Linked DNA regions of Drosophila melanogaster. The protein of the gene in region 1 purifies or fractionates together with the protein of each later gene. This does not show direct contact. Each region holds a gene or a part of one and is shown in the gene's direction. Other genes may lie near its edges.

Region 1 (8,272 bases):
GCACGTGAGTTGCTGAAGCTGCCAGATGGTTCAGATTGCTATGCCTTTAAATATAAAATGGAACACGTCCTTAAAAATTAAATATTATATACATATATATATAAGAGAGAACCCAAAATGGTATCTAAGCAGAAGTGCAACAATATAAAATTAAGCTTAGAATTATTATTATTTTAATAGCTATCACTATCGATTTGCACATTTTTATCCGTATGAAAATAAAAATTAGGCAAGACACTTAAAATTAAGCATGCAAATTCTAATCACATGATTATTATAGATTCTATTAATACTACTACTGAGCCAACTTATATCGATATTCAAATAATATTTGTATTTTAATCTTCCACACGTTATATAGGCATATTTAATGCACCTCATGCTTTTACATAATTGCCGAAAGAGTGGCAACGTCTTGCCACAGCGTCTCTTATAATTTTAAACTCGTGGAGCTGAGCCATCTCAGATTTAACTCTCCCTGCGCATGCTCTCGCGTGGGAGAACAACTTCGAATTTCGGGCAGAAGGATAACAAAGAAAGCACTCCAACGAAACGAACACCCTACAGACTAATATAGAACACCACAAGACCAAAACTCGTTTAGTTGCCGCGTTGACAACTTTGTGGCAGGCGGCAAACAAACAAACCTCACACTAGTCCTGAATGTCCTTTATGCGGACAGCTGTGGGGGCGGGGATCCTGTTGCAATTCCATTGTGAAAGCCAAATGCATTGACCTGCTTAGACAGCTGAGAGATTTACAACTCCCCTATAACTCCTGGCCGTGCTGCAGTTCTGGGAAAGGGAGCAGCGGCATTAAATGGCAAATAAATCTAAAGTTAAACTTTTGACACTGTCTCGGCGAGCAGCCACGAAGGCACTTCCTTCCGACTCCCTCGACTTCCGGTTGGAATCTGTCGCCCTGTCAGCGGCAACAGAAGAAGTGACACTGGCACGCAGACAAGTGCACTGAGAGAAATTGCTTCGGTCATAGCTCAGTGAAATACTAATTATTTCTGCTGAGAAATATTGACAATTTAAAACAAAAGTCATAAAATATGAGCATACATTTTTTATGATTAACTAAATACTAATGCATTCGTTAAATATATATATACCGCCGAAAACAAATTAAGACATTTCCTATTCTGTCAATTACAATTTCATATTCAGTTATATTGTTTTAAACTAAACTGGCGATATATAAACTTTCTGGCTGAAAAATCTTTCTGAAATTGTACACCAGCAATTTCTCCATGTGTACTACTGTGCGATGTATAAGGATTGGATTTATGAGCGCCCAGCACCTCTACCGAAATCTTATAAAACCCGGGAATAAATAATAATAATTCTTGCGCTTTTCGCTGTTGTTCGCATTTCCCGCATTTCTCTGCCATTCTTTTCCATTCTTATGACAATGTCAACATTTCTTTTGCTCCCCTAATGGCCTGAAGAAAGCACACGCACACACACACACACATATAGACCACTCGCACACTATGAAACCGAATGTGGCACACACCCCACGCACTTATTTATATGTATTTTCGATCGTCTGTTGTTTTTCCAAGTCGGTTATGCATAGCCATAAATTCTGGTAAAAGCCTTCTGTAGGTCGAGGGCCACGGCGGTCCGAAAATAAAGGAATTGCTCCTGATGCTGGCACTTACGCACACAGCCAAGCAGCAGGATGGGAGAGAGAGGACCTCGCACACACGGACTCACGCACTCACACGCAATTGGTGTTCTCGCCGTTTTTGTTTGTCACTTAACAGATTTTTCTGTCCTTGCTGGGTATTGATTTCTAATTTTTCCTTCGTCGGCTTTGCGCCCCAAAGAGGTTTTTATAATGTGTGCGTGTGTGTGTGTGTGTGTGTCGCATTGATTTCGCAATTTATGGGCGATTTGATGGATTGCTTGAATAACTTTATATGCTTATTTTTGAGTTTTTATTGTTTTACAACTTGCGGTATTTTATGTAGAGATCCTGTGGACGACCTAATGGAAATCATTTGGTTTTGGCTGAAATGCGGCCATAAAGGTGTGAATCAAAATAATGTTGCCTATACTTCGGGTATATCATTTCATATGGAAAGCGCTTAATAATAATTATATAAATATATAATTTCTAGTTAATGTGACTTTATTAACCCATTAGTGCGTTTTAATCATTTAATTTGGCATCAGAATCGATCACAGTCACGAACACAAAAGCGTAATGGTAAAAATAAAGGCTCATTTGTTTAAGTTGTAAATTAAATAAAGCAAGTGTCACTTTCCATTTAAATGTTGCCTAATAATTAATGACAAAAGGCTGCAGGGCTCACGATGTCCGCGGTTAGCTAATTGATCCAAACGCATCCGCGTAATTAAACTTTCAGCCACAAGCCCATAAAATAAATCAAAAAGCGAAGGACCGAAAGGGGCAACATTTAGGGGGGGGGGGCTTGTTTCGCATGGCTGAGTTCAGGACGATTAAACGTTAAATCAATATTGTTAAATCCCCGCTCGCATCCCCGCAATCCACACAGGCAAGTGTTCACGTATTAATTGATGTTCGTGAGTGTCCTGCATTTAAATAATCCATGATTTGGGACATCTGTGTCTGAGTTCCCATTCATATATGTATGCATATGTGTATATGAGTGGTGGAAACTAGCTGCAGATATAGCTACAGACACAGATACATTTACATTCCGGCACATAGTTTTAAGTGTGATTCAGTTATTCACAATAGTCGCCGCTTTTTGTTCTTGCCACGTTTTAATATTGTCACAACTAGTTTCGAATAACTAAATTGGATGTTTTCGATTAGCATTCAATACACTGCTCAGCAATTTCGTTTGCGTTGCAATTTGAGTACTAGATTTTGAATTAGACAATTGTTTTATTAATTGCCTACATGTATATTACCTAACTGATTTCGAAGGCCACTTGTACGACCTTGAGATAGAGTATTAATTATTTAAATTCTACTGTATTATAATTGCAAAGAATTGTAAGTATTCATAATATATAATGGCAACCCAATTTAAGACTTCTTTTGAAGGCCCCCGCCTACCGAAATTCAGTGCCTATGAGAACTGAGAACGAAAAAAATTGAGCAAGGACCAAATATCCATCAGGCTGAACACACACATTTTCATGCAAATAGGCAATGTGTTATTTTTTTGGGTCAGCGATTCACGGAGGGATCCCCACCAAATGGGTTGGCTGAGGAATGGCCTATCCCCATATCTCAGCGGCACTTGGGGCAGGCCAACAAATACAAGCAGGCATAATAAAATAATCGATGCTTTTAAAATTTGCATAAGTTTGGATACCGCAGATGCCGCGCAAGGATGAGCCCATCTCCAGTCCCAGTGCCATTCCGCCAGTGCGCATACGCCGCGTGGAGGGCACAGGACTGGGCCATGGCCCATGGCCCAAAAGCGGAGTCCTAGACCCGGAGACGACAGCAGTGGTGGACAAGTTCGTGGGCGTTCGATTTAATTGTGGGAATTCTGCGTCTGCCACGCACCCATCACATCGATGGACGTGGCTGAAGAGCTGAATTTTTAAGCGCTCCAAGGCGGCCCGATACCCATATTGTATATTTTCATTACCATGTGTGGGTCGGAGTGAAAGTCGCGGGCTAGGATTTAATGTGGCCTTGTTGCAGCCGTGGGAACTCGTCCTCAAAGTACACGTCCTTATGTACAGCGGAGCAAGTACCTAGCCGACAGAAGGAGCAGGCACTTGTCGACAGAGCTTTTTAACCTTCCGGATTTCACATTTCATTACCGTCGACATCGCGGTGCTGGCAGGTCAACTGTGTCCTGGTTCCGGAAAGCCTCATATCTCGTATCTTAAAGTATCCCGGTTAAGCCTTAAAGAGTGAAATGATTGCCTAGATGATTGCTGCATTACTGGCACTCAATTAACCCAAGTGTACCAGACAACAATTACATTTGTATTTTTAAAGTTCAATAGCAAGGTAATAGCACTGGGTCTTTCAATATTACAATATTACCAATTAGAGAACCATATATCGTACACAATTGTTCCACATTCCGAATTTAATAACTCACGATCGATAGCCAAATTAATATTAATTTGAGAGGACATGAGTCCACCTGAATATTCAATATGCATTATACATTATCCCGCTATGAATAAAACATTCCAAATCGATTCATTTCGGGCAGGAAAATTCCTTTTCTACTCGGCAAGCAAACCAAGGACTAATCACAAATACGGAATATTGAACAGATTACGTTCATAATAGCTGATTGTGTTGGCGAAACCTATTAATTTTGTCGTGCAATTTCCGCCGCTCAACAGGATGACAACCTCGATGCAGCCGAGCAAGTACACGGGCCTGGTCGCCGACCTGATGCCCAACATCCGGGCGATGAAGTACTCCGGCCTGTTCATGCACAACTTCACGGGCGGCAGTGCCTTCATGAAGAAGGTGTACTCCTCCGTGCACCTGGTGTTCCTCCTCATGCAGTTCACCTTCATCCTGGTCAACATGGCCCTGAACGCCGAGGAGGTCAACGAGCTGTCGGGCAACACGATCACGACCCTCTTCTTCACCCACTGCATCACGAAGTTTATCTACCTGGCTGTTAACCAGAAGAATTTCTACAGGTGAGCCTCTGCTCACCGCACCGAGCTTACGAACACTTGGGGAATTTAAAATTTTATGTTTTTCCGGCAGAACATTGAATATATGGAACCAGGTGAACACGCATCCCTTGTTCGCCGAGTCGGATGCTCGTTACCATTCGATCGCACTGGCGAAGATGAGGAAGCTGTTCTTTCTGGTGATGCTGACCACAGTCGCCTCGGCCACCGCCTGGACCACGATCACCTTCTTTGGCGACAGCGTAAAAATGGTGGTGGACCATGAGACGAACTCCAGCATCCCGGTGGAGATACCCCGGCTGCCGATTAAGTCCTTCTACCCGTGGAACGCCAGCCACGGCATGTTCTACATGATCAGCTTTGCCTTTCAGATCTACTACGTGCTCTTCTCGATGATCCACTCCAATCTATGCGACGTGATGTTCTGCTCTTGGCTGATATTCGCCTGCGAGCAGCTGCAGCACTTGAAGGGCATCATGAAGCCGCTGATGGAGCTGTCCGCCTCGCTGGACACCTACAGGCCCAACTCGGCGGCCCTCTTCAGGTCCCTGTCGGCCAACTCCAAGTCGGAGCTAATTCATAATGAAGGTGATTTGTTGAGTCTGAACCTAAACTTTTAGGCGGTTATTCAGTGAGCACTTCACTGAATAGGAAAATGCCATGACGAGCTGTTTTTCCATTGCAGAAAAGGATCCCGGCACCGACATGGACATGTCGGGCATCTACAGCTCGAAAGCGGATTGGGGCGCTCAGTTTCGAGCACCCTCGACACTGCAGTCCTTTGGCGGGAACGGGGGCGGAGGCAACGGGTTGGTGAACGGCGCTAATCCCAACGGGCTGACCAAAAAGCAGGAGATGATGGTGCGCAGTGCCATCAAGTACTGGGTCGAGCGGCACAAGCACGTGGTGCGGTGAGTTCAAATCCTGGCCAAATTGGACCAGCCATTTCAAGGGGGCTTTGGCCAGTGATGATTGGATTTTTGGCGATTTAAATGGCAGAGCAGTCCACTCATATTTCATGGACTTGGATTTTTGCCTTTAACAGAGCACCGAACATAATAAACACACACACTTTCCCCTCAGTTTTGTAAAACTTCAATAGGCGCCATCGGAACATGTGTTCTCATTTATTAGGAGCTCAACAGATCCCTGCAGCTTGTTTGACTTACTTGATTACTTCCTCAATTGCAATCATTGTTGGGGGCCCTAGAGGAATGTCCTTGTTTGTCCTGTCCGACAGTTGGCGTGTGCAGTTGTTGATACCAATATTGACTTGATTCCTGCCTGCAATCCCTCATCCTTTCCCCCGTTGCCTTTTCCCCACAGACTGGTGGCTGCCATCGGCGATACTTACGGAGCCGCCCTCCTCCTCCACATGCTGACCTCGACCATCAAGCTGACCCTGCTGGCATACCAGGCCACCAAAATCAACGGAGTGAATGTCTACGCCTTCACAGTCGTCGGATACCTAGGATACGCGCTGGCCCAGGTGTTCCACTTTTGCATCTTTGGCAATCGTCTGATTGAAGAGGTGAGTTTGTGCAGGGTTGCAAGATAAATTTATAAGTAAATCAGACATCAGTCTCAACTGATTAATAATCGAGAACATCCTTATTTGAGTTATAGGGATATTTATAAAAAATTTTGAGACTTCATTAAAACTAAATGAATTGTAAGTTGAGAGTCAACAGATTGGTCCGTTCACTACAAGCTAACCAGTGTGTTTTTTCCATGTGGTAGAAATAAAAGGGTGTTTTTGCGTATGAGATAAAATTGAACCAATGTTTTCAAGTTTATAGATTGGGAAACATACATAGTTCTAAACGTTGTTATAGTTATAGTTTGTGTAGTTAGTTATCTAGAGCATCCTTAATACGACTTTCATTTCGCAGAGTTCATCCGTCATGGAGGCCGCCTACTCGTGCCACTGGTACGATGGCTCCGAGGAGGCCAAGACCTTCGTCCAGATCGTGTGCCAGCAGTGCCAGAAGGCGATGAGCATATCGGGAGCGAAATTCTTCACCGTCTCCCTGGATTTGTTTGCTTCGGTTTGTTGCATTTGATTTATTGATCTATTGATGGAGTTAAAACTGAATCGGATATTCCCGATTCGCAGGTTCTGGGTGCCGTCGTCACCTACTTTATGGTGCTGGTGCAGCTCAAGTAAGTTGCTGCGAAGCTGATGGATTTTTGTACCAGAAAAGCGAATGCCAAGAAGCCACCTACCGCCCCTTGCCCCCTCCGCACTGTGCAACCAGCAATATCACAGAGCAATTATAACGCAAATTATATATTTTATACCTGCGACGAGCGAGCCTCGTGGGGCATAATGGAGACATTCTGGGGCACATAGAAGCCTGCAAATACTTATCGATTTTGTACACGCGTAGAGCTTTTAATGTAAACCCAAGATGCAAACTAAATAAATGTGTAGTGAAACTCGAAGGTTTAATGGGGGGTTAATAGAATAGAAACAGGCGGAGTTTATTTCATTTTAAATTTCGAATTCATTCGAATTTATTTGCATCTTAAGTATTAATATATATATATATTCTGCATATACAATATAAAATCTAGAATATTGTCAACTATAATATATTTTGGTTTAGCAAACTCAAATAGAGAACTGTTTCTCAATTACTTTAATGTGTGTTATGAACTTTTTTTTCTGAGCTCCATTGTTAAATTGCTAGTTTAGATTCAAGTTGGGTCAGGAGCGGCTTGTAGTCCATCAATTAGTTTTAATTCAATAATTATCGGTGCTGTTCACATGATAAGCGTGGAATTTAATGGGCTAGACGCCGTGTTTATCGCATCACTGGCTTGCATGCCGCAATTTTCACGGCAAACGTATGTGCAAAACGAACTAAATTTAGGAATAAATGCGGATTATAATCATAATCTTTGGGCCGTAGTCGTTTTGGCCACATTTTTGGCAACTGTTGGCGCAACAGCAGAAGCAGTATGAGTACGATTAGAAACGGCCAGCCATCGTCAGCAGTTGCAGTGGCAACAATTAAAAGTGGCAAAAGTGTAATTCGGAATCATACTGTCGAGCGTGGTTGTGGATCTCCACACGCTTAGCTCCACTTACATAGCTCTCCTATATTTTTGCCGTTTTGAAAGCGCACTTTATGGTTTTCAAAATTGCCCAACTGGGCCGTCTGACTCCGCGGCGGGTTAAAACTGAAGCAACAACAAGAAAACGCTCCACGGCGCGAACTTTTAATGCGGCCACGCTCCGTACATTTGGCGGAGTTTTTATTTCTTGCAGCTTTCATAAAACAAAAACGAACCAACGAACGAAAAGTGACTACAACTAAAATTGCGCCAAGAGTGTGCGCCAGATGGGGCAAGACGAGGTGGGGCGAAGTATCTGTATCTGCTGGATACCCCTCTCCATGCAACCGCTGCTTACTGTTAATTTCTTTATTGCGCACACTTTCGTCTGCCAATGAAAGTTTCTTGACTTTGGCTAGGGGGGGAACGCAACAACAACAACAACAACAACAAGAGCGGCTACTGAAACTACTTAATTTATAAGTCTATGGTTTAATTAGTTTTCTTTCTTTCGCGCTTGTTTTGTATCTTTGGGGCCGCGGAGGTACATCTTCCTGTTCTTGTCTGCAGTTTTCGGTAATTTA
Region 2 (5,226 bases), on another chromosome or scaffold:
GTCAAATGGTGAGGGGGGTGGGGGTTAAATCGCGCGCGCTTTTTGGCGAAAATTGCATTATGCATGGAATTTGCAACTATTTTTGGGTTCATATTTTCTTCTTCTTTTTTCTTTTTTTGATGAGGGGTGGGGGGATTTTAATGTGAAATCTGCCGGTGTGCTGTCAGCGGCGTAGTCGACGTTGGCGCCGACGACAGCTGCAGCAGAGTTTTCCAAGAAAAACAACGCAAGCGATGAAAAGAATCGACAAAATAAAAACCGAAAAAGAATGTTAAGAAAAAAAAACGCACACTGCCCCTCACACACACCACACACACACACACACCACACACATACGCACACGCACGCACGTACAAAGGCGGCGGCGGCGGCGGTGTCGGCGACCAACGACCGACACGTACAATACACATGCACATTACTGTATGGGTGTGCGAGCGGCGAGGCGAGAGCGTGCGCGTGTGTTGGTGGGCTGGTGTTGCCTTTTTTTTTGCCCAAACCCCAAAAAACCGCGTGCATTATTACACATTTTGCCCAGATTGTCGGCACTCGCGCAATTCGATCGCATCGCGTCCACTTTCACAAGCACCGGCGGTTCGCGGCCAACGCGGAGCGTACGCTATTGCAAAAATAATTAATAATATTTACCTAGCGTGTTCATAACCACCTCTTCCAGCCATGTTTTATTTTTTTCAAATGAGCGAATTCGCTGCAAACCGCAGTGTGAACACACGGGCGAAAAATACTATCGCGGCGAATTTGGTCGGGCAGTGTCACCACACCAATTAGCTGATAGCCGCCTTTCTTAGTATTTTGGTCGTTAGCAGGGACGCATGCCCAATTGCGTCCAATTTTCAGATATCGATTAATATTTATAGTTGTTTAGCATTCTACAATTGTTCCTTTTCTAATGAAACATTCAAAAATGACATTGAATACATAGAGAGGAATACATATGTTTGTATAAATTTTTTTGTTGAAAAAAATAATACTAAAAGTAACTGGACACAAATGGTTTTTTTTAATACTGAAAATCTATTTAGCGGTATTTTTTTTTGGAGCACCAGGATAGTTCTTATCGTTATCGACAGTACAACTAATCAGCTGTGAAAGTACAAACTGCTATATTTTATATAGACTGAACTTAAAATTAAGTCATGGCGGACGACAACTGCATTTTCTGCCTAATTTCCGATGGGCGGATCCCCTCCACTGTTTTGGAAGTCGAAAACGATGACTTTGTCATCTTCCAGGACATTAAACCCGCTTCCCAGCACCATTACTTAGCAGTGACAAAAAAGCACTACGCTAGCCTCAAGGATCTTAACAAATCGCACGATTCTTTGGGTAAGATTGGAATTGGCGTGACCTCGGGCCATGCCCTAATAATTCTGATATCCTTGGATTCCTTACAGTGCAGCTCATGGAGAACGCCCTGAAGGATCTTCTGGTGTCCAAGGGAGTTTCTGTCGATGATGCCCTCTTCGGATTCCATCTGCCGCCGTTTATCACGGTGAAGCATCTTCACATGCATGCCATTAGCCCACGCACCCAAATGACCTTCCTATCTAAGATGATCTTTAGACCCTCCGTTTGGTTCAAAACCGTAAGTATTTGGCTATTCTGATTTTGACCACTTAGAGGCCCGCTTTAATTTAATCTTATCTATTTAATTATAGGTCGACGAGGCGCGTATTTACCTTTCCCAAAAAGAATAGATCGGGACCATCATAGATAACTGTTAGATAAATATATATTGTACTCGCGCGCTGTCATAATTAACTAATAAACGGAGCCAACCTATACAAATATTCTAATGTTCTTTAAATTAAAAGTGTAGCTTCTAAAAAAACCGATTCAAGCTACATGTCATTACATATTTAATGGCCTTTTTGTATGCGATAATATGCAACCTTTTAAAATGTTCTGCAAATTTAAACAGATAAATATGAAAAATGAAAATTTGACATATGGGAATTATCATCATAACATGGATAAAAAGTGACATATAGATAAAAGAACAACTGCTTTTTATTCCTATTTATCAGTATTAGCAATCTATATAACTTTTTGAGAATTTAACTTTTGGGTCAATTTTCGCAATTTTTGTAATATTGCAATAAATTTAACAAAAATTAACATTTCCAATTTGAAATTGATTGGTATTTAAATAACAAGCTCGCCAAGGGATGGCATTCCACATTTGGACTATTATTTCGAATGTTCTGATCAAAATTAAAACCAAAACAGTAAAATTTGAAATTGACCGGCAATCCATGTGACAAACAATCGATAGACCGCTGCTGCCCCACCTTTCCAGTGTGACCAGAAGCAATCCAATTGGCAACGTTTTGCCGGCTACGCAATTAAATATCGATAACACCACTGTCATACCTTACGCTTCTTCTTCTTGCGCCCGCTCGGCAGAAATTGTACACGTTTTTCATTTCGAAAAGTCCAAATTGCCCATTTTTTGGCCATAGACCACAGACTTTAACATGGCCCTGACGTCGCGCTTCTACAACGAGCGGTATCCGGAGATCGAGGATGTCGTTATGGTGAACGTGCTGTCCATCGCCGAGATGGGCGCCTACGTTCATCTGCTTGAGTACAACAACATCGAGGGCATGATCCTGCTGTCGGAGCTGTCCCGCCGGCGCATCCGCTCCATCAACAAGCTGATTCGTGTCGGCAAGACCGAACCGGTGGTGGTTATCCGTGTTGACAAGGAGAAGGGCTACATCGATCTGTCGAAGCGTCGCGTTTCGCCCGAAGATGTCGAGAAGTGCACCGAGCGCTTCGCTAAGGCCAAGGCCATCAACTCACTGCTCCGCCATGTCGCCGACATACTCGGCTTCGAGGGCAACGAGAAGCTGGAAGATCTCTACCAGAAGACCGCCTGGCACTTCGAGAAGAAGTACAACAACAAGACGGTCGCCTACGACATCTTCAAGCAATCGGTCACCGATCCCACCGTCTTCGATGAGTGCAACCTGGAACCGGAGACCAAGGAGGTCCTGTTGAGCAACATCAAGCGGAAGCTGGTCTCGCCCACTGTCAAGATCCGTGCGGACATCGAGTGCTCCTGCTACGGTTACGAGGGCATCGACGCTGTCAAGGCATCGCTCACCAAGGGCCTGGAGCTGAGCACCGAGGAGCTGCCCATTCGCATCAACCTGATAGCACCGCCACTGTAAGTACCTGTAAACTATTGTAATTTCCCTTGGTGTAGACGAAATTAACGAGGGTTTCTTTAATTAAAAGAATACGAAAATTGTAGATTTCTGTTCTTCATTTTAGCCGAAATTTATCGTTAAATAATAAGGAAATCCCTTTCATCTTGTATATATTGTAAATGACCACTTGGTTAAGAGAAAAACTTATATTCAATTTAATTTTACAACTTCTTGTGAAATCGAAATAACTAAAAATGTTGCTTAAATGAGTTAATTGGTTCCTAAACGTAATCGCTCTTCATCCGTATCCTTTTAGCTATGTAATGACCACATCCACTACCAAGAAGACAGACGGTTTAAAGGCTCTGGAGGTGGCCATTGAGCACATTCGCGCCAAGACCAGCGAGTACGATGGAGAGTTCAAGGTGATCATGGCACCCAAACTGGTTACGGCCATCGACGAGGCGGATCTGGCCAGACGCCTGGAGCGCGCTGAGGCCGAGAACGCCCAGGTGGCTGGCGACGATGACGAGGAGGATGGCGCCGACCAGGAGGGCATGCAGTTCGATCCAGAGAAGGAGTTCAACCACAAGGGATCGGGGGCGGGTCGTGCGAACGAGGAGGATGAGGAGGAGGAAGAGGATTAGCGTAGCCACAGCATCAGACACAACTATAGCAACTGTAACAAACAATTAAAGGAGTTTTGCAAAAATCAGAAGTTGTAATTTTATAATTTATATACATAACATATAACGAATGCTATTAAAGATTTATAAAAGTGAAAACAGCGAGATGCCCAAGAAGACAAATCAAAATGCGCTTGCTCATCTTTTTCTTTTCAAATCCAAAACAATACTATCGACCATTTATTATTGAACCCAATTCAGTTTTTCTTGACAGACCCTTAATACTAATTCAAATTGTGTATAAGTGTAATATTATTTAATAGTCAGGCATTCTTTCGTTTTTCTTTTGTATTTACTTGTTTCATGTTTTCGTTGATGCGGCTTGTTTCCATCACCGTCCAGATTTTCATTCATTAAATTTTAGATTATATCGCTTACTATTCTCTCTAGAAAAAACCAACCCACCTCTGCTTTAAAAATGACCCGGTAGTGCTGCGTAGCACCCTAATTAGATATTGTACATCGTAACAAACGATTCGTATAAAAAAAGTGACATCAGTTTATAAACATTTCACTAAATTAGAAAGGTTTTCGTTTCGGTATTCATTGCTTTGTGGTTGTGTATAGTCCTTACTATTTCCTATTTGACTTTATATGTGGCGTGGCGTGGCTTATTATTTGGTATTGCTCGGAGTATTTCGTTGGAACGGCTTCCAGTTAATGGGGTCCAGTCTGTTCATCATCCTATTGCAATCCGGTTTCTGGCTATGGGGAGTTCGGCTTTAGGTGGTGGTGTGGGCTGTGCGTCTAGCCGCGTTCAGCTGAGTTCGCTCCCCGAGGCGGCATCGTTGCGGTGGAGCAGCACGGACCTGGCCGCCTGCTTGTTACCGCCGCACAGGCGCAGCACGGTAAGCACATCGCTGCGAGGATAGCCAAGGGCCATGAGATCGGTGACATCCTGTTCGGTGAATCGTTCTTGAGGACTGATCGTGTTGGGCCCGCCACCGGCGCCACCGCTCTCCCGTTTGCTTTGCTCGATTGCATTGGAAATCGCCTCCTGTTCCATCGAATCCTCCGAGTTTCCTGTCAGCCGGGCGCTGACCGGCAGCTCACTTTCCGGCAGAAAGGGTGTCGTTGTTCCCGTGGTGCCAATAATCAACAAATTACGCTGCAAGTCAATCAGGCACTGGAAAAACCAATTCAATTAGCATTTAGGCGACGTAATCTGATGCTATCTAGATTTCATTACCTGATGTCGCTTCAGCATGTCCAGACCCAGCAACATGTCCATGGGTTGCTGGCCCAGCACGGTGAAACTGGACGTTAGGTGATCGTTCTCAATCTGCAACTGGACCATGTGTATCCTGCCCAGAATGGGCTGTGTGCCAACGCCCTTGGCCACACCATTCCAGCGTGTGTCAATCAGA
Region 3 (5,712 bases), on another chromosome or scaffold:
CAGTCGAGCTGTTTCACGCGATTAAAATAAAAAAAGGCCCTGGTTATTTTACCTCTGATACGAGTCTCTTTTGATGAGAAACTTTTCGTGCTTACCCTCATTTTTTAAGGCAGTCCAAAAAACAAACAGGGAATTATTTCACAGCCGCTGAGGATAATGTGAAGGTATAAAAGAAATAAATTATGCCGATTGCTAATTTTTATTAAAAAAAAAAACATTTTAAATGATAAGCTCACTCGTGTCCTTTAGATTTTAATTAAAGAAGTTTTTTGAAAAAACGTGGGATTTTAAACATTTTGAAGATTCAAAATGAAAACATGCTGTTAAGTAGAATCATACCTTAAATAATTTATGCTCATCTTATTTAAACCTAATAAATATTTAATACTTAAATGTATTTTCCGGAATAAAAAATAATTAGAAAATTAGAAAAAAAATATTATTGAAAAATATAGAAAATATACAATTGTTGTAGGCATATCACTAAAAACTATTATTTTTATACTTATTATTAAAGTTATTATATTATATTATTATTATTATTATTATACCTATTAAAAAGCAATTATTATAAATTTGCAATAAGTATTATAGTAATCAGTAAGGCGACAATCATAAAATAAAAATATGCCCTACTTGTCTCTCTGGCAACTCTGGAGGAATACCTTGCTTGTTGTCATTTGATCTATATTTAGAACCGTCTAAAATTAGTTCGAAAATAATCCTATTCGAACTAGACCGATTCTTTTGATAGATTAATTTTTGCAATTTAGGTTAAGGGATTAGTCATTCTTCCTCGGGAAGCTGGAACTCAACCTTATTGGTGTTATGTATCCAAAGATACATATATGTACGTGCGAAAATACACGTTTTATAGAATGAATATGCATGGGGCCCCAAATCTAATTTAGCGACATCCATTTGTTTTTCCATGTAGTATAGCAACCGAACCGCGCCACAAATACATACATCTGTATCCAAGTATTTGAATACAGCGAGAATTGGGTAAAATGTGTGGAGGAGGAGAGTGTGGAGGATCCACAGCAACGATTGGCCTCACCGGATTGTGCCATAAAACGTAAACATGCCCCACTTAGTTGCAGCCCAAAAATAGATTGCACCGAACCCAATTTAAATGGGTACCCTGCAAAGCCGGCATGTAACGGTTAAGCTCCCCCCTCCCATCCCCCTTACTAACATCTTACAGCCCGATTTGTAAATAAACAATTAGTTGAATATAATGCTCATTGCACGAGGGGCGTAGACATGGGCGTGGGCGTGGATCTTGGGCGAGAGCGCAATGAGAAATATGACCAAAATTAGAAACGAAAGGCATGAAGGTGCAAAGGCTGGGAAATGATAGAGATGCGATTTGACTAAGGCTGTGCGTTTGTGTGTGTGTACATATCGAAAATAGAAAATGAATTTATTACGACATGAGAAAAACACGAAAGTTATGAAAACAACGAGCCGTACGAGAAAATAGAAGCCAGCAACAAAGCGAATATATCCACCCACCCAATCCCCCACCGTAACGAACCGACCCAAAAAGTATCCAAACCGAACCGAAACATATAGCAAATATAGCAGATATAGCAGATATAGCCGATATGGCCGATATAGTGGGAGAACAGGAGAGAGAGAGAGAGCGACTCGCTGAGAATGAGCAAACGAGTGTGAGTGTGCTGGAGGCGCCTCCTTGCCTTATACGGCACTTTTTGAGACTGCAAACGATCGTGAGCAGGCAGCCGATCGTGCCCGATCCCAACCGATACGATCTCCACGCTCGATCACGCCGAACTATACTGCGCTATATGCTATATGGTATTCCTATACGTATAGCATGCCATACCATATTGTGCCTCTCGCTCGTTCGCCTTATGTTTTCCAAAGAGCCCCCTATGCTGAAGGATCTATTTTTAGGCGGATCGGCCGGTGGGCAGCATTATCGCATCCATGAGCATATTTCCTCGCTGTGTGTATTCGTTTGAGTATTTCTTTTGCCATTGGTATGGGGGCGTGGCGGGGGCGGTGGCGGCGGGGGGCATGGCGACGGCGCTTCTTGGACGAGATGGCATTTCGGCGGCGGTATAAAATCCGAGTACCAACGCGGCGATACTTTAGTCAGTCAGTTGTGTTCCAAGCCGTACACACCGTAACTCTTGATTTAATTCACCCGTGGTGCCGTAAAAAAAACAAAACTAAAACAAAATGTGTGACGATGAAGTTGCTGCTCTGGTCGTTGACAATGGTGCGTATTCCCCATCGAACGGATTATCGTCTTGGCTTTTGCTAAAAGAGAAAAAAAAGAAAGAGAAATAGACAAAGGACCCAACAGCGAAAGGATATTCCCGCATCTAGTGCTAAAGTGATCGCAAAGTGAACGATTTTCGAGTTGTGATTAACTCACGCATCCTTCGGGACACAAGCAATTAGAAATTTGAATATAACAAAAAAAATATTCCAATGCCTTGGATGATTTCGAGAAATATATATTTTAAATATTAGTTATTGAGCAATATTTTCAATTCAAGTCAAAGAATCATAAATATTCAGATAAAGAAAAGCTAAAATATTATATTTTGCACAGAATCAAAACCGATTTGCATAAGTTTTATAAAGATTTTTTGTGCCCGAATCACTTTCATAAGTTTTGATGCTTGAAAGCTTTTCAAGAGATCATGATATTAGAGAAGAGGAATATTTCAGAAATCATATATCTTCAGATATTTCTCTATACGAGAGAAGAAGACAGATCACATATTTTCATGAGAGAATTTTTCTCTCCGCCCCAAACTTTTCCAGTTTTTTCGACTTAGTCGCCAGACTTTTTCACGCTGTCCGTTAGAGCAAATGTTAGACTCCCAGTGTGGGAAACCCCACATGAAGCACTCGAGCGCCCACTAATGGACCCCTGTTCGATTGTGTTATCCTGCAGGCTCCGGCATGTGCAAGGCCGGTTTCGCCGGTGATGACGCTCCCCGTGCCGTCTTCCCCTCCATCGTCGGTCGTCCACGCCACCAGGGTGTGATGGTCGGTATGGGCCAGAAGGACTCGTACGTCGGTGATGAGGCCCAGTCCAAGCGTGGTATCCTCACCCTGAAATACCCCATCGAGCACGGTATCATCACCAACTGGGATGATATGGAGAAGATCTGGCACCACACCTTCTACAACGAGCTGCGTGTTGCCCCCGAGGAGCACCCCGTCCTGCTGACTGAGGCCCCCCTGAACCCCAAGGCTAACCGCGAGAAGATGACCCAGATCATGTTTGAGACCTTCAACTCGCCCGCCATGTACGTCGCCATCCAGGCCGTGCTCTCCCTGTACGCCTCCGGTCGTACCACCGGTATCGTTCTGGACTCCGGTGATGGTGTCTCCCACACCGTCCCCATCTATGAGGGTTATGCTCTGCCCCATGCCATCCTCCGTCTGGATCTGGCTGGTCGCGATTTGACCGACTACCTGATGAAGATCCTGACCGAGCGCGGCTACTCTTTCACCACCACCGCTGAGCGTGAAATTGTCCGTGACATCAAGGAGAAGTTGTGCTATGTTGCCCTGGACTTCGAGCAGGAGATGGCCACCGCCGCCGCCTCCACCTCCCTGGAGAAGTCGTACGAGCTTCCCGACGGACAGGTGATCACCATCGGCAACGAGCGTTTCCGTTGCCCCGAGTCCCTGTTCCAGCCTTCCTTCCTGGGAATGGAATCCTGCGGCATCCACGAGACCGTCTACAACTCCATCATGAAGTGCGATGTGGATATCCGTAAGGACCTGTACGCCAACATCGTCATGTCCGGTGGCACCACCATGTACCCCGGTATTGCCGATCGTATGCAGAAGGAGATCACCTCCCTGGCCCCATCCACCATCAAGATCAAGATCATTGCTCCCCCAGAGCGCAAATACTCCGTCTGGATCGGTGGCTCCATCCTGGCCTCTCTGTCCACCTTCCAGCAGATGTGGATCTCCAAGGAGGAGTACGACGAGTCCGGCCCTGGCATCGTCCACCGCAAGTGCTTCTAAGCAGTTGCAGTTGCCTAGCACCAACACTAGCACCACCCGGTCTACTCACCTGTCTCCTGCTCATCTGGTCCTGCTATTTGTGGTGGTTCTGGGTGTGTGGGCGGCTGGTGCTCCACCGGCAAAAACAACAAACACCACCACCATCCAACCATTTGTTTTTGAATGTCATTATTTACCAACGTGTCATCCTTGGTTCGAGAATACTCTTTTGTACTGACTGAACACAACACCATCAATCAAAATGAATTGTCAATCTAATGCCACGGACCGCGATCCCCATCCACTTGTTAATCGCTCGCGGTTTCCTTAAATGTTGATCGCCATTTGATTGTTTTACGAATGAACCGACACCCTCATGTATTTTGTACAGAACCTAACAACTTCCCCGATAGAGCGGATGGGGTCTATTGACTACGAAATGTAAAATAATCTCATGATTGTAATATTAATTAAAACAATTTATAATTATTTATAAATAAAAACGATTTTTTAGATTTAATTTTTTCTAAAAACATAGAGATTTTGGAAAAAATTGGGGGGGGGCATCTAGCCGGGAAAGCAAATCCTAGCCGAAGCTTTCCATCGATCAGTAGTTCAAGATACATACAATATATATGTACATTTATGGATCTATGTGTGATGTGTGAGCTTTTTTCACCTCCAGACGCGACGGTGCGTTTCAAATTTCCCGAATACCATACCGTAAAGCTTTCTATTCCCAAAATATTTCTGGTTTCGAAACGATTTTCGAATATTTTTAGACGCATTCCAAAATGGGTGAGGCGGCGGACAGGCGAGCGATTTTTTGTTTGTTTATGCCATGAGGAAATACGATCGGAGATGACGCAAGTCGGATGGATGATCAAAGGCGGCGGCCAAAACAAATTGCCAATGTCAATTTGTTGCCGCTCTCGGCAAACTGATTACCAGAAATGCATTTCACTTTGAGGAATAATGGATGGAATATATACATATATAGTGTATGGTGGCAATGCCAGAGACAAATGTTCTCGCCGAGATTGCCAAGACAATTAGTCAAAATGGCGTTGGGCCGTTTAATTAGAACTCGATGTGCATTATGAATGAAATTTGTATTCGCGGTCGTGTCGCCTGTTGCAATTTCAGTTGCAGCCACATACAAATGGGTAATTAATGGGCCCAAATCGCTGGCACTTGGCCAAAAAGGGGCGACAGATGCCGCTAATGAGTTGCACGACGAGATGGGCAAAAATGGGCGCAACTTGCCCGTTCGGAATTCACTTTCTCAAGCGAATCACTTTACGCCGCGCTGCACAACAACAAACAGGATTGGGAATCAGAAATCGGGAAACAGAAATCCCAAATCCGAAATCAGGAAACAAATGCCGGAATGAGAAGTTACCAACCCTCGACTTAAACGGGCTTAACCCACTAATCAATTTGCACAAAAACAAAAATAAACACGTACACAATATCGTCGACGTCGTCGTCATAATGCAATATTCAGTTCTTAATTTCCATACAAATTCGATTTAAAATTCATAATAAAGAGCGCAAATATTTCGAATCGAGTAAGGCACATACATAAGTAAGTACCTCCACGCCCATTTACGATTGCGACTTGAAGTATGCCGCACAAAACGACCCATATGGTCAATTATATATAGCTGCTCCGATTGCCAACCAACAACAATGAGGGCATCC
Region 4 (5,500 bases), on another chromosome or scaffold:
GTGTTTTTTCGAAGAAAGGGTAACAATTTTGTTAAACAATTTAGCTTTTAGTATATTATATATTATAAGATCACATCTTTCCACTCTAAAAGCCAACGAAATTAATTAAAAGCGCAATTAATTTGTTTGACAGCTGAAGAAAACAGACGCCAAGCTTTTGGCTTATTTACAATAAGGGGGTAGAATGGGGGGCCAAAATGGCTGAAAGGGGTGAGGGGGCGGCAGGGGAGGCTGGCTTTTTTCTCCTTTCGTTTGTCTGATTCTGTCGGAATAATAAAAGTAATTTAATTTTAATGAAATTGTTAATACGAAAACAATTTCATTTTGCAAAAAGTTTTGCCTGGGCCAAAAGATGGGCAGAGACGGGGGTGGTGGGGTGTGGAGAGAGAGTGAAATTGCTCGTGACAATGAGTGAACGGGAAAACAACAAACAAACAAACAGGAGTGCGAGAGAAAAGAGAAGGCCAAACGAGCAAACACTACGGTACAGAAAATACAAAAATGCCGTCGCAAAGCCAAACAAAAAAGGCACTGCACAAGCGAAAGAGACAGAAGGAGGGAAAGAGAAAGATAGGGAATGCGAGAAATGAAATGCTGATGCGAAGATTTAATAAATGAAATTGGTGTGTGATTAAAAACACAAAAACCAAACGAAATCCATCTAATCAACTTTTGCTGCCGCCTCACTTTTCCTCTACTTTCTCCTCCTCCTTTTCCACCGACCCGTTTCTCCTTTTGTCCTTTCTCCCAGCTGCTATCTCTTTCCTTCCTTCCCGGCGACGTCGACTGCGAGAGCGGCAGAGGGGTGAAAAGAGGGTTGCGAAGTTGGGGAGGGGTGGCACAATACTGGGGGTGGGTGGTCTTAAGTTTGCAACGCCTTCTTGAGGGAAATTCCCGACCAAAGATCCTTGGATTTTTCTAACCTTACGAAATTGTACATAAATAACGGTTAAAATTAATAAATAATTTTTACAATATGTTACTTATTCCACTTAAACATTTATGTTTAATTAAAAAATTTTGAATTTTCAACATGTTTCAAAAAATGTCTTTTTATGTACCATAAAAGATCGGAAAATTCATTCTACCTGTTATATACTTCTTAACAAATCTAGTATACCCTCTTACGAAACGAGTTAAATAGTAAAATTTCCCAGTTTCTTATTCCCCTTTTGGGATTTTCTCTCTTCTCAGGCTCCACCCCTACATATGAGCAGAAAATGGCTCTGAAATGCCTATACATACACATATTTACATACATGACGGCCAGTTGCTATGACATTCTACATCTTACATGCATAATAAATCTGAAATGTAACGTACAACGTAAGTTAGAAATCACTAAAATGAAAAATGGCGCTGTATTAGTTCCAAAAACAAACACCATTTGTCGTAAACGGATAGGCGTTGTGTGCTGTTAGTTCCAAAAGTATACGAGAAAAGTTGAATAAATCATGGCGCAGAGTTAATCCTGCATTGGCAATTTATAATACTAGATTAATTTAAGACCGATCTTGACCAACTTCAATGATGATTTCATTCGGAATGATTATTAAAATCAAACTGATACATCATCTCTGAGAGAACTAGCAGGGAAAATATTATAAATTCTACTACTCTACTAAATCTACTCCTTTCACATAGTATATTTACGTTAACAAACAAAGTACACTTTTATTAATATGAATATTTTGTTATTTGATTAAAGTAATTAATTTGTAGAAAGGATTGAGCATAATATTGTTTTAAATTTTTTTTTTCTATCTCAACGCTAATTCATAACATTGCATCAGAAGAGAAAATAATTTTTTAAAAATTAAGAGAAAAAATGCTAATGTGCTCTTTATTTCATAATATTCGAGTAGTGGTAGCGAGTAAGTTGTTTGTTTCATTTTCAGTCTGTTGGAATTTCTCGTGCTGTGCGGTTGTCATTTGTCGCGATCGTGCTTGGAATTGACTTTAGCGGCATTTTTATAAGAATCAATGCAACGCGTGGTTTTCCTGCAAATTTTGGCACAAGTTCTTAATAAAAGAAAAAAAATATATATATATATGGCATTGGCGTTTATCAGAATAATCCACATCGCCATTTAGTTCGGTGGTTTTTCATCGACTTGTGCTTGTGTGTGCGTGCCACTTGGTTAGTTGTTGCTGCTTTCGCTAGTCGTACGATCTAGCATTTGTGCTCAATTCTGAATTCTAAAATAAAACAACAACTAGCGTTTTCCATATGTGCAACTATTTGCCTTAAAAAGCAATTAAAGCAAAGGCAGTGGTTAAAGTTGACTAAATATTAGTAAAACGTGAATTGTGAATGCAGTTTTGGTGCATTAAGCGAAGAGAGTGGAAGAGAGAGCGGCTCTCTTTTAGTTTGTGATTTCAAAGTGGAAAATTATTAATTCAAATGCAGTCTGCAATTAATTTCATGGAAAATCACTTGTTAGCTGCTCGTTCGCTCTGTCTCTTTCGCACTTCAGCTGACGAATTTTCCGTGCTAAACTTGACACTTTTCAGTCCATCATTCCAACTAATTCTTTGACTGCAGTTTTGCGTCGCATTTCCTTTCTACGCCGATCTGCCTCTTTGCCTTTCTTTTCTCTGATATATTTCAACAGAAGCTCAGTTGTTGTTGTAACTACTCCTCCTCCTTTTTGTTACTTGCTGCTTGTTTTTGTTGCTCGTCATGTACAATTTTTTCCAATTTGTGCGCCTTTTCATATTTTATTCTGCCGCGCTGTTTTTCTGTTTTCTGTTTCTGTCTCGCCGCCGCTACTATTTTTAGCAACAAGTATGGCTGATGTTGTTGTTGCTGCCGCTCAAGTTAACTACGCTACGCTGGCAGAAACAACAACAAGTCAAACTATGCGGAGCGAGAGAGAGTGAACTGAAAACAAAAAGAGTGAGCGATAAAATCCGCGAGAAAGAGTACAGTGGGGCTCGACTTAAATTATCATATTAAGCCAGATCACAAGTATTAACAAATCGAATGTTCTTAAATCCAATAAGCGTTAATCAGCAATGTTGATCAAAAGTTTTAAAATTATTTAATCGATATCAGTGAACTATTGAATACTATTGGTAAAAGCTCAGTCTTGTTTGCATCTTCAAGTGGGGGTCCCACTGTATTCGACTCAGGTGATAACAATAACAGCGACGAGTGAGAGAACTCTCTCTCACTCTCTCTCCTTCATTTCATTTCCCAATCTTTCGTGTTCGTGTTCTGTGGCTAATAGCATTTAAATTTTAATGCCCAATTTCATAGAAACGCAACGCAAGTGGAAAGACTCGAGAAAACAAAAGTGCAGGCCGTCTAAATTGATGGCGAAGTTTCGTGTGCCGCCTGCATTTCATTTATAAATATATTTTCGGCCTTAATTCTGTGCTTCCTGTGAATTAACGAGGAAACTGAAGAGTGCGCGAGCGAGACAGCCGATCACAAATCAACAAGTGGAAACGAAGAAACTTTCTTCGCAAAAGCCGGCTGATCGCAACAACAAGAAGAAAAGAGAGCGATTCTCTGCGACTGGAACCATAACATTTACATCGACCCTGGAATTTCTTCACTTTTCGTCCAACATGTAAGCTCCATTTTAATATGCAATTACTGTTCGCTGTTGTCGAACAGCAACTTATTTATTCATACTTATTGTTTATTTATGGATTTATGCCGCCTACGAACTTTGTGATTGCACAATCGTTCGGCCTTTGAATAATTTTTTTTTTCGCCAAGGCGCCCTTTTGTCTATATACCCATCTCTTTCGACTGCTCCAGTGCTGTCTTTTTCTGGTCCGTGCTTTGAATAAACAATTAAGGCTCAGGGTCTTTAAGCCCTTTTCTCCGCCTTAGAGCCGAAAGTGATTGTTGTAATTTATAATTTATATTTCCTTTCTTAATAAATAAATAAATAGTCAAGTTTATGTTTGAGTTTTATGATTTATATTTTAAGTTATTTCAACTGCAACACCAGCACCACGACCTACTCACAGCAAAAAACGTACAAGAAGGAAAGAAGGAATAAAAAGAGTGGTATTCTCTTACAATATGTTTTATGGCATAAAAGGTGTGGCCATTCATATCAAATATAAAGTAGTGTTGTTTAACGTTATTTTTGTAGGTTGAATAGTATATTCCAACACGCCCCCTCAAAAATAACGTCTATAATTAAAAACATAACAATAATATTCATTAGTAACTATCAAATGTGGGTGGTGTGCATTCTGGGAAGTGTTAACTGATCCAGCATTTGCTGCGAGGATACGGGGAAAACCCAGAAAAACCCGATCAGATCATTGTAACAAAATATGTTTACAGGAATTTAAATTTGAAAAATATATATAAAAATTTCATTCAGCATTCGATTGGTCGTCTTGCAGCAAACCCAATTTGTCTCGTAACTCCACAAATCTCGCAGCAGGCAACGGTTTTGTAAATATGTCAGCCAGTTGATTCTCTGTAGGAATATACTCAAGACAAATCACATTATTCTGAACTTGCTCTCTGGCAAAATGATATTTAATATCAATATGTTTAGCTCGTTTATGACATGAGGGATTGTTTGCTATGCTAATACAGCCTTGATTGTCTTCGTAAATTTTAATGGGGTTTTCTAGTTTAATGTTAATACTAGTTAATAAAAATTTAAGCCATAGAGCTTCTCTCACGGCTTCAAATAGGGCCATATACTCAGCTTCAGTTGATGAGGCTGCTACTGAGTTCTGTCTCTTTGTATTCCAACAAATGAGATTAAAATCAAACATTTTGAATAAATACCCTGTTGTACTTTTTCTATCAATTTCACTACCAGCCCAATCAGAATCCACATAACCAATAATTTTATTTTCAAATGCCAAGTTCTTTTTAAAAATCAATTTCATATCGATAGTGCCCTTCAAATATCTAAGAACTCTTTTTAAGTTCTGCCATAATTCGGAGTTATTTTTGCTACTATATCTGCTCAAGATATTTACTGCAGTAGTTAAATCTGGGCGTGTACAAAGCATTATGTACATTAAACATCCTATGAGGCTACGGCATGGGGTATTGCAGTCTTCATCTGAATTAAGTAATTCATAATTTATTTTACTAGGTAAAGGAGTACTAACTGCATTACAATTTTCCATGTTAAATTTACTTAAAATTTTTTTAACATATGCAGATTGGCTTAAATAGATTTTATCTTCCTGCATCTCTATCCTAATTCCAATAAAATGTTTTATTTCATTTAGGTCAGTCATCCTAAACTTTTCCATTAAATACCTTTTGAAGTTATTCATTCTTGTCATATCTCCTGTAGCTATAACCACATCATCTACATATAATAATACATATATGTTTTCATTGATGTTACCTTTGTCTAAAATATATATACAGCGATCAACTGAAGAGTTTACAAACTCACACTCTTTCAATGCTTGCTCAAATACTTCAAACCAGCATCTAGCCGCTTGCTTGAGTCCGTAAATTGCCTTATTCAATTTACACACATTGTCACTATTACAC

Evidence for each region.
Region 2: the proteins of Orco (region 1) and eIF2alpha purify together in Drosophila melanogaster (affinity purification with mass spectrometry, with the first as the bait; one large-scale study listed by BioGRID). This does not show direct contact.
Region 3: the proteins of Orco (region 1) and Act57B purify together in Drosophila melanogaster (affinity purification with mass spectrometry, with the first as the bait; one large-scale study listed by BioGRID). This does not show direct contact.
Region 4: the proteins of Orco (region 1) and for purify together in Drosophila melanogaster (affinity purification with mass spectrometry, with the first as the bait; one large-scale study listed by BioGRID). This does not show direct contact.

The regions. Positions count from the first base shown.
Region 1 is NT_033777.3:5,405,975-5,414,246, reverse strand, and holds Orco (odorant receptor co-receptor), read left to right. Parts: upstream 1-1,840; 5' UTR 1,841-1,852; intron 1,853-3,777; exon of another isoform or gene 3,778-3,975; intron 3,976-4,322; 5' UTR 4,323-4,323; coding exon 4,324-4,631; intron 4,632-4,701; coding exon 4,702-5,216; intron 5,217-5,313; coding exon 5,314-5,539; intron 5,540-5,954; coding exon 5,955-6,159; intron 6,160-6,520; coding exon 6,521-6,676; intron 6,677-6,744; coding exon 6,745-6,795; 3' UTR 6,796-7,064; downstream 7,065-8,272. UniProt on the Drosophila melanogaster protein: Odorant coreceptor which complexes with conventional odorant receptors (ORs) to form odorant-sensing units, providing sensitive and prolonged odorant signaling and calcium permeability.
Region 2 is NC_004354.4:16,444,149-16,449,374, reverse strand, and holds eIF2alpha (eukaryotic translation initiation factor 2 subunit alpha), read left to right. Parts: upstream 1-2,381; 5' UTR 2,382-2,495; coding exon 2,496-3,190; intron 3,191-3,489; coding exon 3,490-3,820; 3' UTR 3,821-4,199; downstream 4,200-5,226. Other genes in the region: eIF4H1 (eukaryotic translation initiation factor 4H1), read right to left, coding at 646-677; CG34015 (uncharacterized protein), read left to right, coding at 1,155-1,344, 1,413-1,603, 1,677-1,715; rngo (rings lost), read right to left, coding at 4,617-4,985, 5,049-5,226. UniProt on the Drosophila melanogaster protein: eIF-2 functions in the early steps of protein synthesis by forming a ternary complex with GTP and initiator tRNA. This pre-initiation complex mediates ribosomal recognition of a start codon during the scanning process of the leader region.
Region 3 is NT_033778.4:20,941,906-20,947,617, forward strand, and holds Act57B (actin 57B), read left to right. Parts: upstream 1-2,115; 5' UTR 2,116-2,211; coding exon 2,212-2,251; intron 2,252-2,938; coding exon 2,939-4,029; 3' UTR 4,030-4,526; downstream 4,527-5,712. UniProt on the Drosophila melanogaster protein: Actins are highly conserved proteins that are involved in various types of cell motility and are ubiquitously expressed in all eukaryotic cells.
Region 4 is NT_033779.5:3,653,348-3,658,847, reverse strand, and holds the start of for (foraging), read left to right. Parts: upstream 1-1,894; 5' UTR 1,895-2,126; exon of another isoform or gene 2,127-2,140; intron 2,141-3,262; 5' UTR 3,263-3,578; intron 3,579-5,500.